Linked DNA regions of Canis lupus familiaris. The protein of the gene in region 3 interacts with the protein of the main gene of each other region in a biochemical or structural test. Links are inferred from orthologs where the notes say so. Each region holds a gene or a part of one and is shown on either strand. Other genes may lie near its edges.

Region 1 (4,309 bases), on a different chromosome or scaffold from region 3:
TGCTTCTCCCTCCTCCTGTGTCTCTGCCTCTCTCTCTCTCTCTCTATGTCTATCATAAATAAATAAATAAATCTTTTAAAAAAATAGAGTGTCTTTTTTTTTTAAGATTTTATTTATTTATTCATGAAAGACACAGAGAGGTAGAGGCATAGGCAGAGGGAGAATCAGGCTCTCTGTGGGGAGCCCAAAGCAGGACTTGATCCCAGGACCACGGGATCATGACCTGAGTCACCCAGATGCCCCTAGGTTAGAGTGTATTAAGGTGGAATTTGTAACTAAAAGAGAAGAGGAAGAAAGATCACATAGCAATGGGTGTAGAGATTAGGGGATAGGATAAACATGTTTTTCCTTTGAAGGAGGGGATGGCAGCATTAGGTGGGAACATAGTTCTGTTGTTTGCTTGAAAGATTATTAGCCAAAGCAGTGGACTGCACTAGATAATATTTTTATTTAGCTTCCGTTCTCACTCCCTTCTATGTCTTCCTAATCCCTGGATTATAATGTATGGAAGGTTAAAATCACATTTTCCAGATGTCTGTGGAGTTAAAATTCTGGACATAATTTGGGTTCTGCCAATGACTGATGAACAATGGCACAAGGTTTGAAAGACAGAAGGGAGGAAAAGGTTGTCCTGTGAAAGAACGAGCTGATAAGCAAGCTCCTGTGCTCAGTGGTGCATACAGGAGCTGGACTCAAGTTCCCTTGTCAATTCTCCAAGGGCATAGGGCATATGTGGTGGCAGCAGTGGTGGAAGCAGTGGCAGTGACAGAATCCTAAACTCTGGATAGCAGATATAGTGGAAGTCTCCTGGTTTCCATCCTGCCAGCCCTTCCAACATACATGCATGCATTCATTTTCTACTAAATCCTTATGCTTAACATACAGTGGTTTCTGTCTCCCAATACTGCACAAGGAGAAACCTCTCTTGAAATGGAGCCTACATGAGAGAGTACTGCTGAGAAGCGAAGATTAAGAATCGGGTCCTTGTTTGAGCTCTGGATCAAGCCGCATCTGAACCAGACACAGCCTAGACCAGTCCGTTAAAAGAATCCTCCCCTCCTCTTCTTTCTCCTGCTAACCAATTTGTGTTTCATATTATGTTTATTACATCAAAAGCATCATAATTGATCTAATATTCTAAAAACAACCTCTTGTCAAAAAAAGGAATCCCCTTTATTCAATATATATTTATTGAGTGCCTACTATGTGTAGCCCTGTACCGGAAATGTGATGTTGAGCAAAAACTACTGTGTCCTTAAGTGCTTAAATAGAAATGAATTGGTTTTTTTTTTTTAAGATTTATTTATTTATTTTGGAGAGGGAGAGAGAGAAAGAGAGAGAGAGAAAGAGAGAGAGAGAGAGATGGGTTGGGAGAATGGCAAAGGAAGGAGAGAGAGAATCTCAAGCAGACTTCCTGCTGATTGTGGAGCCTGTTGTCACAGCTTGATCTCACGACCCGTGAGATCATGGCCCAAACCAAAACCAAGAGTTAGCCACTTAACTGATTATACCACCCAGGCTCCCCATCAACTAAAAGTATTTTTAAGAATTTTTATCCAAATTTTCTTGGTGTTCTGAGGGAAGAGTTTTCAGTATATGTAATCCACCATACTACCAGAAATAGTAACCCTTCAGTCTTTCTCAATGAAATTTTATGTAACTTTTCTATGAACCATTCTATTCTTTTTTTAAAAAAAGATTTTATTTATTTATTCATGATAGTCACACAGAGAGAGACAGAGAGGCAGAGACACAGGCAGAGGGAGAAGCAGGCTCCATGCACCGGGAGCCCGACGTGGGATTCGATCCCGGGTCTCCAGGATCGCGCCCTGGGCCAAAGGCAGGCGCCAAACCGCTGCGCCACCCAGGGATCCCGAACCATTCTATTCTTAACTGTAACCAGCTATGGTATGAAGATTAAGGATTAAGAGGTTTTTCCCAAAACATGCTCTAGCTTCTCTTGTAAATTCTACATGACCACCTGGGGCTCCGTGGTAGAAAAGCCTTTATGCCACAATAACACAGTATCTAATATTTATCTTTGAACTAAAGGCCCCTTAAGAGAGGGGCCTCCAGGGGCATCTGGGTGGCTCAGTCAGTTAAGCGTCTGCCTTTGGCTCAGGTCATGATCCCAGGGTCCTGGGATCAAGCCCCATGTCCCATGCCAGGCTCCCTGCTCAGTGTGGAGCCTGTTTCTCCCTCTCCCTCTGCCAGCTGCTCCCCCTGCTTGTGTTCATTCTCTGTCTCTCTCTGTCAAATAAATAAATAAAATCTTAAAAATAAAAAGAATGGGGCCTCCTTAGGGTCTAATGCAGGAACATGCAGAGAGTAGATGAGCAATGCATTTTCCTTGAACTATGAGGACAGGATTTATTCATTTACTTCAGTGCCGAGTTGGAATTACATTTCCCCTAACAGTAGGTTTGAGATAGCTACCACAAGTACTTCGATCTGTAGTGAGAGATAGAGGAATCATTCTGGGAAGACAAAAAAATATACATCATTGGGAGGGCTGTCTTACACTCAAACACCAATTAGGCATATTTCTAATAGTATCTGCCTATGCTTTTATGTGAACCCAAAGCATGAAAGAAATGAAAAGCCCAGTATGCCACATTAGCAAGAGTGTCCCCTTTGGACAGCTAAATGGCCTTTCCTCAACAAGCGAACAAACAAGTCTGAGCTCAAAAACTTCAAATGTTGTCATTATTATTAAATTCACATTATTTACATATAAATGTTACTGAATTATCATTATTATTTGATCAACTTACTTTGTTATTTATATTTAATTATTATTCAGAAAAATGAAATATCCATGCCTACTGAATGACCAGAATCAAGCTTGGCAATAAGATTCATACTTCAGCTTTGCTCCTAGGGAAGTGCCTGTTAAGCACTCTTTGAATTTTGCATCCATTTCCTGGTTCTGAGTCTCACTGAACAAATTTTTCCAATCGCCAACTTCACCTGCAACACACACAAAAAACAGACCCAGACGTCTGTTAGAGTATTTCTTCCTGATTTTTTTTAAGCTACTATATTTTACTTTTATTTTTATTATTATTTTTTTTACTTTTATTTTTATTTGGGTATGGTTGACATACAATGTTACATTAGTTTCAGGTGTATTACATAGTAGTTCAATAACTCTAAGTTATGCTGCGCTCACCACAAGTGTAGCTACCATCTACCACAATACACACCATTACAATACCATTGACTGTATTCCCTATGCTGTACCTTTTATTTTTTAATTTTTTAAAGAGATTTTATTTATTTATTCATGGGAGACACACACAGAGAGAGGGACAGAGACATAGGCAGAGGGAGGAGCAGGCTCCATGCAGGGAGCCCGATGTGAGACTCGATACTCCATCCTGGGACCCCAGGATCACACCCTGGGCTGAAGGCAGGCGCTAAACCGCTGAGCCACCCAGGCGTCCCAACGCTGTGCCTTTTAATCCTATGACTTATTCACTTCATAACCGAAGACTAGTACCTCTCACTCGTCTTCACCCATTTTGCCCATACCCCTACTCCTATGTCTCTATATTTTACCATTTTTCAGGGCAACATTTCACTTTGAAATGTGAAAATGGACACATGAAGAAAATTAGTCTTAAGAATGAAAGTAATTCTCTTGTAAAACTAACAGCATCCACTGGGACTTCCCCATCGGTGGCATGGTATGCTCTCTTTACATTACTTAGGGGACTGTAGGCTTCAGTAATCTCCTATCCCCCACCCCCAACTCTGGGGACCTAAAAGTCCTTTTTTTTTAGTCATTTTTTTTCCTCTGTGAAAGTATTTCTTAAATACTTTAGTCTTTGAGAAGTCATCATTTTACAGCAGATTTTTTTTTTTTAAGATTTTATTTATTTGGGAGAGAATGAGAGAAAGAGCACAAGCAGGGAAGGGGCAGAGGGAGAGGGAGAAGCAGACTCCCCACTGAGCAGGGAGCCTGACTGAGGCTTGATTCTCCAGGCCCTGGGGATCATGACCTGAGCTGGATCATGACCTTAACCGACTGAGCCACCCAGGCGCCTCTTATGGCAGGTTTATATCAAGACCTCAGATACTGAAAATTTGTCAGGAAGTTACCATTTTGCCTGAGATTAGGATATGTTTTTCTATTGCTTTTAAAAGTACGGGAAGTTACTTCTTTCTTTAGAGTCTTTTGGTGATTTGGGTTGAAGTTGCAAAGTTCCTTGTAGGATAGCCATTTGTAATGTATGTTTATAAGGAGTGTTTAAAGACAGGAAGAAATGCTTAGATATATGAAGAGGGTAACATAAAACACAACTGT
Region 2 (3,526 bases), on a different chromosome or scaffold from region 3:
CTAGAAGCAGGTATTAGAAGGCCAGCTCTGTCTCCTTCATTGTCATCCTGCCACCATGAACCTGATCAGTTCTTTCTGCCAAAGACAGAGGCACTTCTTAGAGCTCTGGCTATAAGATAAACTCTGTTATCTTTTTTATAATGTACATGGGTAATGTGTCCTGATTTGACATATCTGCCAGCCTTGTCCATGATAGGGAAACGCACTGCCGGCTATCATTAAGGCCTGCACTTTGCAAATGCACCCCATTCTGTCTTCAGAAACTCAAGTTAACACTAACATATCCCACATAAAATAATTCAACGACATCTCTGCAACTACATTAATTCATCTACATTTTAGCCATCAACAATTATACAAATCCTGAAAACCTGTAATGGGGTCATATAGCACACATTTAAAAATATCAGTTAGAGAAACCTTATGATTTAGTAATTTCTTAACTGTCTTTTATATACTCCAAGTAGTAAACCATATGACCACCCACTCCACCAAATGCTCCCCCCCTCCAAAACCTATCTTCAATTGTGAAGGTGATATTTTTGAAAAAAGAATTTACCATGAGTCCATTTTGTCTCTCACCAAAAATAATGTACCTGAACTTTAAACAAAATTCACATTTTATTTAGGTTGAAATAAACTATACAAAATTGATTTTCTTCACCAAAAATAACAGCAATATTTTCTGTATTATTCCTAGATAACCACGAAAAACTTATTTTTGTAGGTTTTCCAGGTTTTGTTTATAAATCAAGACGAGGCAGTAGATATAGTCATGGAAAAAGACAGAGGAAAACAGACAAATCAGTTGTCAGTATCCATGGCCTCTGATCCTGTCTTGACCATGAACAGAGGTGTTCAACATACACCTGCTAAAAAGCTTACGAAGACATAGATGTTCAACATATACTTGCTAAACAGCTCATGAGGATGTAGGCTCAACAAAGGAATGTAAACAGCAACAACCCAATGTGGAACAATGGCAGGTTCTCTCATTCAAACTTTAAGTATAACTTGTTCCTTCAAGTTCATTTGATAAAGACAAAATCTACACAGAAATCTTTGCTTGGCAAGCTCACTTTTCTCTCTGTCTGGTAACTCCCTTAACTCCATTATAGATTTTTAACATACTAAAACCCCTACTATTCAAAGGTCACTCGTGAGCTTCATTGTAACATTTTACAAAATGTACTCCTTCTTCCAACACCTCTTCAAAATCTATTTTCTCCTAAGAACTGATAGTTCAAATACCCGACAATTGGATCCAGTGATAATAAATGTTATGTCTAAAATGACTTAACTAAAACAATTCCCAAGTGCTATTAGCAGAGATCCCGTAGAAGTGTAATGTGGCACTTTCAATGCTATCTTCTGGAAGAACAGTTATGTCTCCAAAGCACAGGAGTTCAATCAGGGGCCATTTTAAATAGGCAGATTATCAATGGCTAATGTACTTAATGAGAGGTCAATAAGTCAAGATATTCAGTGATTAAGTGGCCTACATACACCTGACAGTTTTTCTTTCTGTAAGATGTTTCAAATTTCTTACAGAGTTTTCCAAATATCAAACATAAGAGAAAGCCTACTTTTAAAGTCTCTTAGGTATTTTCAATGGTTTCTGAGTTATCTGTAGGAAGCTCTGACTTAGTTGTATAGAGTTTGATATATGTGTCTACCATTAAATCCAGATCATGTTTTATATCAAAATTTATGTTAAGCAGAGCCAAGTTACTTGACCTTTGGTCTGTCAAAGTGTTCCTCAGGTATGCTTTGAGACGCTTTCGCCCATTTTCATAGCGTTCATTCTCAACCTTCATCACAGGAAGAATACATAGGACTTTGAGCAATGCATAAACATTAGGAAAAAACTTGATGTCTGGTAGATGTAGGGCTTCATAAATGGTGGATGGAAGCTCTATATCTTTCCCTCTGTGTTTCCACTTGATTCTCCAGCAATGCAGCTCAGCTGAGAGTGTGTCAGGATTGGGCAGGTCACTTCTGTACATGTCAGCATGGTGCTCCTCTGATGTATTAAATTTGAGCTGTCCCATGACAGAGGGTACAAGAGATAAGCATTTAAGAGCTTTGAGGTGCTGTTCTGAGAATATATCTTTCAGTTCCTGAATAATGTGTTCCACTGTTGGAACACTTAGAGTTTCTTTATAGTAACTTTCAGAGGTGAGCTGAGATTCCAGGTTACCTTGCTGCGCTCTGCGGAATTTGCCAGGGAGTTTCATCTGAATATCTAGTTTAGTTGCCAAATTTGTGGCTTCTTCGAACCAAAATTCATGATAAACTTCAATATTTTCCATCACTTCATTTAGAGAATGCAGCACTGCAGTCAAGCTACTGGCTGCAAAGAAGACATCAGAGGTTTGCCCCTGGAGATTTTTCCCAAAGGCTCTTGTAAAAGATAGAACATTCTTAAGGACAACAATGGTAACAATGAAATCAAAATCTGTTACTGCACTACAGAGTACAAAAGCTCGACCAGCTATATAGTTATTCCATCTAATATTTGTATCACTATTTATACCATCTAAACATAGAACAAGTGCTTGTAGGAGATCCACTAAAATTTCAAAAGCATCATGCCTGCCTGTCCACTGAGAATGGCAGATTTCCTTCAGTTCTTTACCCTTTTCCTCATTATTCTGAAAAAGGACAGAAATTACATTGTCAAGCTCCAAAAGCAGTTGTGGAGATCGATGGAAGAACGAACAAACTTCCTCAATTGTTCCTAATGCAACAGATACTCCCACAACAGGCACTGATTTTGCCAACCACATGTTTAAGGCACAGGAAGAACAAAGTGTGTAGACAGCTTGGGGATATTTCTCTAAAAGTCTAGAAGCAACAATTTTCATTTTGGAAGAAAATCCACTAGATACGATGTAAGCCTGACCACGACAATATTCCATATTTAACCCCCACTTCTCGGTTATCGTAGTGTGAAATTTCACAGCCAAAATTTCCGCATCGGCTTCGTAAGGCAAGAAGCCCAAAAATTCCTCTCTCAGGTTATGAGATTCATCAACAAACCTCACCAACACAGGCAAGTGTTCTTCCCCTGCTATGTCCACTACATCATCAGTGATGATGGAAAAGAAGTGAGAGTCTCTCACTTCCCTGAGGGTTTCTTCCCGGATGCAGCTCTCACAGATTTCTAGCATCTGTTTCTGTTGTGTTTTTGAGCAGAACAATGTGTTAACTGCTGTTGTCTCAAAACGCTTTCTTAGAACCTCTTCACCAGAATTTATCCGGCACTCCAGCAGTGCTTGAAAGTTATCAGGAGTAAAGAGACCCTCTGGGATTTCATCAGTTTCATGCCCATCCAGAGGTATGTTTTGTTTTCCCATAAGAATCAAAATTTCAAATAAAGATTTTAGGTATTCTTTGTTTTCTTTCTCTTCGAGAGTCAAAGGTAAAATGTCTTCATCCTGTTCTTCACCCCCTTCTTCTGCACTGGGGTTCTGAGCATTGCTGTTGTTTATTTCTTTATGTTTGGGTTCCTGTTCAGAAGTTT
Region 3 (3,652 bases):
AAGATTCCAGAGAAGCCCCCAGGCTAGGTGTACAATCCCCTTTTCTGCACTGTACCTTCTAGCCTGGCAGCCTGGTTTCCTAGTCAAGCTCCTGTAAGTCTGGCATGAAGAAATCATCACTGATCTGGGAAGGTGGTGGGAGGAACTAAAGACATCTCACTGCTGTGCTCTCATTATCAAAGGTGAAAGAGCGGAGACTCAAAAAGCTCTAGTGTCTTGTGCAGGAGGAGGGCAGTAAATCCGGCCTCCTGCCTCCATGACTGTTGGTCTCCCCACTGCACCAGGCACATGAGGGCCGGGAATCTGGCCGGGGCAGGCCTGAAACTGGACTTCTGCAACTGCAAGGCCGGGGACCAGTCACCAGCTCCCGTGGGGTGGCCCGGAGCAGCCCGCCACCCCCCGCATGACACTGCCTGCCATGTGTCCTCCTACTGCAGAGCTAGCAGGCCACTGACCGCTGACTCAGCCCTTTCAGAAGCACAGAACATGTTAAAGACCAACAATACCTGGATCAGAGAGAACTTCTTTAGCAGCTGCTATGTCAATGAACTTTTTCTCCGCTTTTTTCTTTTCTTCTTCATTCTGGAAGTTATCTGGATGCCACTGCAGTGCTAATTTTCGGTATGCTTTAATGATTTCTTGCTTTTTGGCGTTTCTGAGCAGTATTAATATTATCAGTCATTAGTTAAGAAGTGGCCAACACACTGGCACAAAAAAACTAAGAGACACTTAAGATCCCACTGGCAAATTGACACTGGTTTCCCTAACAGTGCCAATGGGGTCATAGGCTGAATGCTTAACGTACAGTTCTGGATGATCATGAAAGCTGGTCAGCCTTCAGAATCTCAACGGGAAGAAATTACTTTTGATCTCTGCAATTTTCTCTTAAAAAAAAAAATCAGACCCATTTTTAAACTTTGCATTTCCAACTTAACCTGATACAATTCCTGGCATTAAAAGAGAGAGCTCTGACTCTGAACCACACTTTTTATTTTGCTTCTGGTTAGCTTACTTAGTTCTGGTGCAGACTGTGACTGAAAGCTGATGGCTCCCTTGCTCAGGGAAGGTGGATCTTGTATAAATTACCTACCTTCTGTCTATCTCAGTGGCTCTAAATTGATTCTCAAAGTGCCACTTTATTCTTAGCCTAGAGAAGTTTGCTCTCTCCTTCCGCTCTCCCCGTCCTGTCCCCACCAAAAGAAAGCTCCCTCCCCTTTATCCTTCCAAAAAAAAATCATGCTACAGTGTCCTACCTCTGTCACCAATCACTAATCTCCCATTGTCACAGTACTAATCTCTATAAAGAAACCTGCTTGTAACAAAATAGCTTCGTGATGTGATGTTTATGATGTGAAAGATGGTTAGGTTTAACCCATGACTAAAATTACATAGCAAGGAACTGAATCAGAGGAGAAAAATGAGCAACAATAAGCTTTAAAACAGTTGATTAAAAATAACAATGTAAATTTTAAATAACTCACCTTTTTACTCCCAAGATTTTATAATAATCTCGTTTCTGCGACTGTTTCAATAGCCTTTGTGCCTTTTCTAGACCTTCCCGAATCTGCTGATCATTTTCATTGTGTTCCTGAGCAGTTTCATAATCCTGAATAGCTGTCAAAATGTTTAAGATAATGCTGTCAAAGGAACTGTAACTTGTAACCTCTACTTATCCTGCAAGATTGACTCTCAAGTCACCATCCTGGCCCCTTCACTCTTTTGCCATTACTGCTAAGAGCCTAAGAAGTGGTGGTGATGATTGGGTTAGCCAACTTCTAAAAGGCATAATGAAGGCTGACTTTAGGTAGCTTTTTACTCCCAGTCAATTAAACTCACTGCTGTCTACCTGCCCACCTTCCCACATTACCTTTGCCACACTTCTGAGAGATTTTAAGATCTGTACTTTATACAAAGCAGTCTTACCATCACGACAACTGAACTGATTGTTACATAGGAAAATAAGACTATGGCAAAGAAAATCTGCACGGTCAGCTACGAGTCCACAATTCAGAAGAATCGGAGGATTAGAAAGGCAGCAAGAAGAACCATCAGCAATCAGAACATCTAAGTCACCCAAGGGCTTCAGCAGGAACTGTTACTTTTTAAGCTGTCACCCAGAGCAGATGACACTGTCCTAGTACAGGGAGTCTGATAACAATCCACATTAAATCTTTCTCAGATTTAATACTTTAGCATGCCTCAGCTTAGAATGCTTTAATATCTAGAACACAAGGCATCAGAATATCTGAGTCACAACACAGCAAACCGGAGACTTATCCTGAGAAAGGCCTGCTGGCAAGGTTGGTCCTGGCTGGCATCTCTGAAGGAGTGTTCCTGCCGTTTCCTGGTAAGAATGGCTCACCGTGCCTCAATGTTTGTACACTGTAGTTTATGTTAAACATGGTCTTTCCTTCTGGGAAACTTGAATTTGGGTGCAGTCAGGGCAGAAGGTGCCTGGCTGACCAACCCCTCATAAATGTCCAGGGCACCGGCACTCTAGCAAGCTTCCCTGGCAGACAGCACCATGCACATCTTGAGGAATTATAGCTTGTCTTGTGATTTCAAAGAGAAAGACTCTTAAAGTCTTCTACCTGCAATTCTCTGGATTTCGTGCCACCTGTCCTTTACCCTTTGCTGATGTTACTTTGTATCCTTTCAGTAGAATAAATCTGAGCCTGAGTACAACTGTATGCTGAATCCTGTGTATCCTCCTCCTACTGCATCACCAAATCTGGGAGTGGTCTTGAGAAGCAGACATCTCAAATAAGGGACTGTTGGATTCAAATTCTAGTTTTTATGGAAGTGCATTTCACCGTGGGGAAAAAACCTCTCTGGATAGCATGCCTGAGGATTTGTCCTGGCACAGCTAATCTTGGAAGGCATTTAAGAGACAAATGATCCTTCTGACATACTGCTGGAAGGTCACTAGCAGCCTAATGCCATGTCACAATGCCTAAGCCATTGCCCTCACTTTATCTCATCATGGAGGCATCAGCTGTTTTATCTCCCATCATCACAAGAATAAGTACAGGACAATAAGATATTTTGAGAGACACCGCCTTCACGTAACTTTTACTATAGTATATTATTGTAATTGTTCTAATATTATTAATCTCTTACCATGCCTAAGTATGAATTATGTATTATGGTACCTAGGTATCATTGGTATTATGTGTAGGAAAAAACAGTGTAGACAGGGTTGGATATGATCTGTAACCTCCATCCACTGGAGGTCTTGGAAGGTATCCCTTGCAGATGGGAGAATTACTGAAAGTAACCTGCACTACAGGAAAAAATGAATCAACACCACCTCTGGTCCTTGGAGGGTACATTTTAAGCTTTTATCCTAATTCCTGCCTCAATGCATTAACATTAAATACTAATATGAAACATTACTACAGTCACCCAACCCATAGTGACAACATAAAATACCTTTCCAATTTAGTACACAAAACTATCATAGAGAGTAGTGAGTTTTAACTTTAAAATTAATACCCATAAAATAAAATCAATTCCAATAACACTTGATACCATAACCTAGTAAGGAAATGTACTCTGAAGGAATTTAATACAAGAAGAAAATGTTTCAATACATGAAATTTTACTATTCATGCAAACTCTAGTTAAAACAGGTTTATATCCTACCCTTTTA

The links.
Region 1: the proteins of DNAJC3 (region 3) and EIF2AK2 form a complex in vitro, tested with the Homo sapiens proteins (2 studies listed by BioGRID). The link is inferred for Canis lupus familiaris from reciprocal best matches to the Homo sapiens genes DNAJC3 and EIF2AK2.
Region 2: the proteins of DNAJC3 (region 3) and THAP12 form a complex in vitro, tested with the Homo sapiens proteins (2 studies listed by BioGRID). The link is inferred for Canis lupus familiaris from reciprocal best matches to the Homo sapiens genes DNAJC3 and THAP12.

Annotation. Positions count from the first base shown.
Region 1 is NC_049238.1:29,693,462-29,697,770, forward strand, and holds the start of EIF2AK2 (interferon-induced, double-stranded RNA-activated protein kinase), read right to left. Parts: upstream 2,834-4,309; 5' UTR 2,775-2,833; exon of another isoform or gene 914-2,774; intron 1-913.
Region 2 is NC_049242.1:22,429,537-22,433,062, reverse strand, and holds the end of THAP12 (52 kDa repressor of the inhibitor of the protein kinase), read right to left. Parts: coding exon 1,599-3,526; 3' UTR 603-1,598; downstream 1-602. UniProt on the Homo sapiens protein: Upstream regulator of interferon-induced serine/threonine protein kinase R (PKR). May block the PKR-inhibitory function of DNAJC3, resulting in restoration of kinase activity and suppression of cell growth.
Region 3 is NC_049243.1:46,523,003-46,526,654, reverse strand, and holds part of DNAJC3 (dnaJ homolog subfamily C member 3), read right to left. Parts: intron 1,615-3,652; coding exon 1,482-1,614; intron 656-1,481; coding exon 507-655; intron 1-506. UniProt on the Homo sapiens protein: Involved in the unfolded protein response (UPR) during endoplasmic reticulum (ER) stress.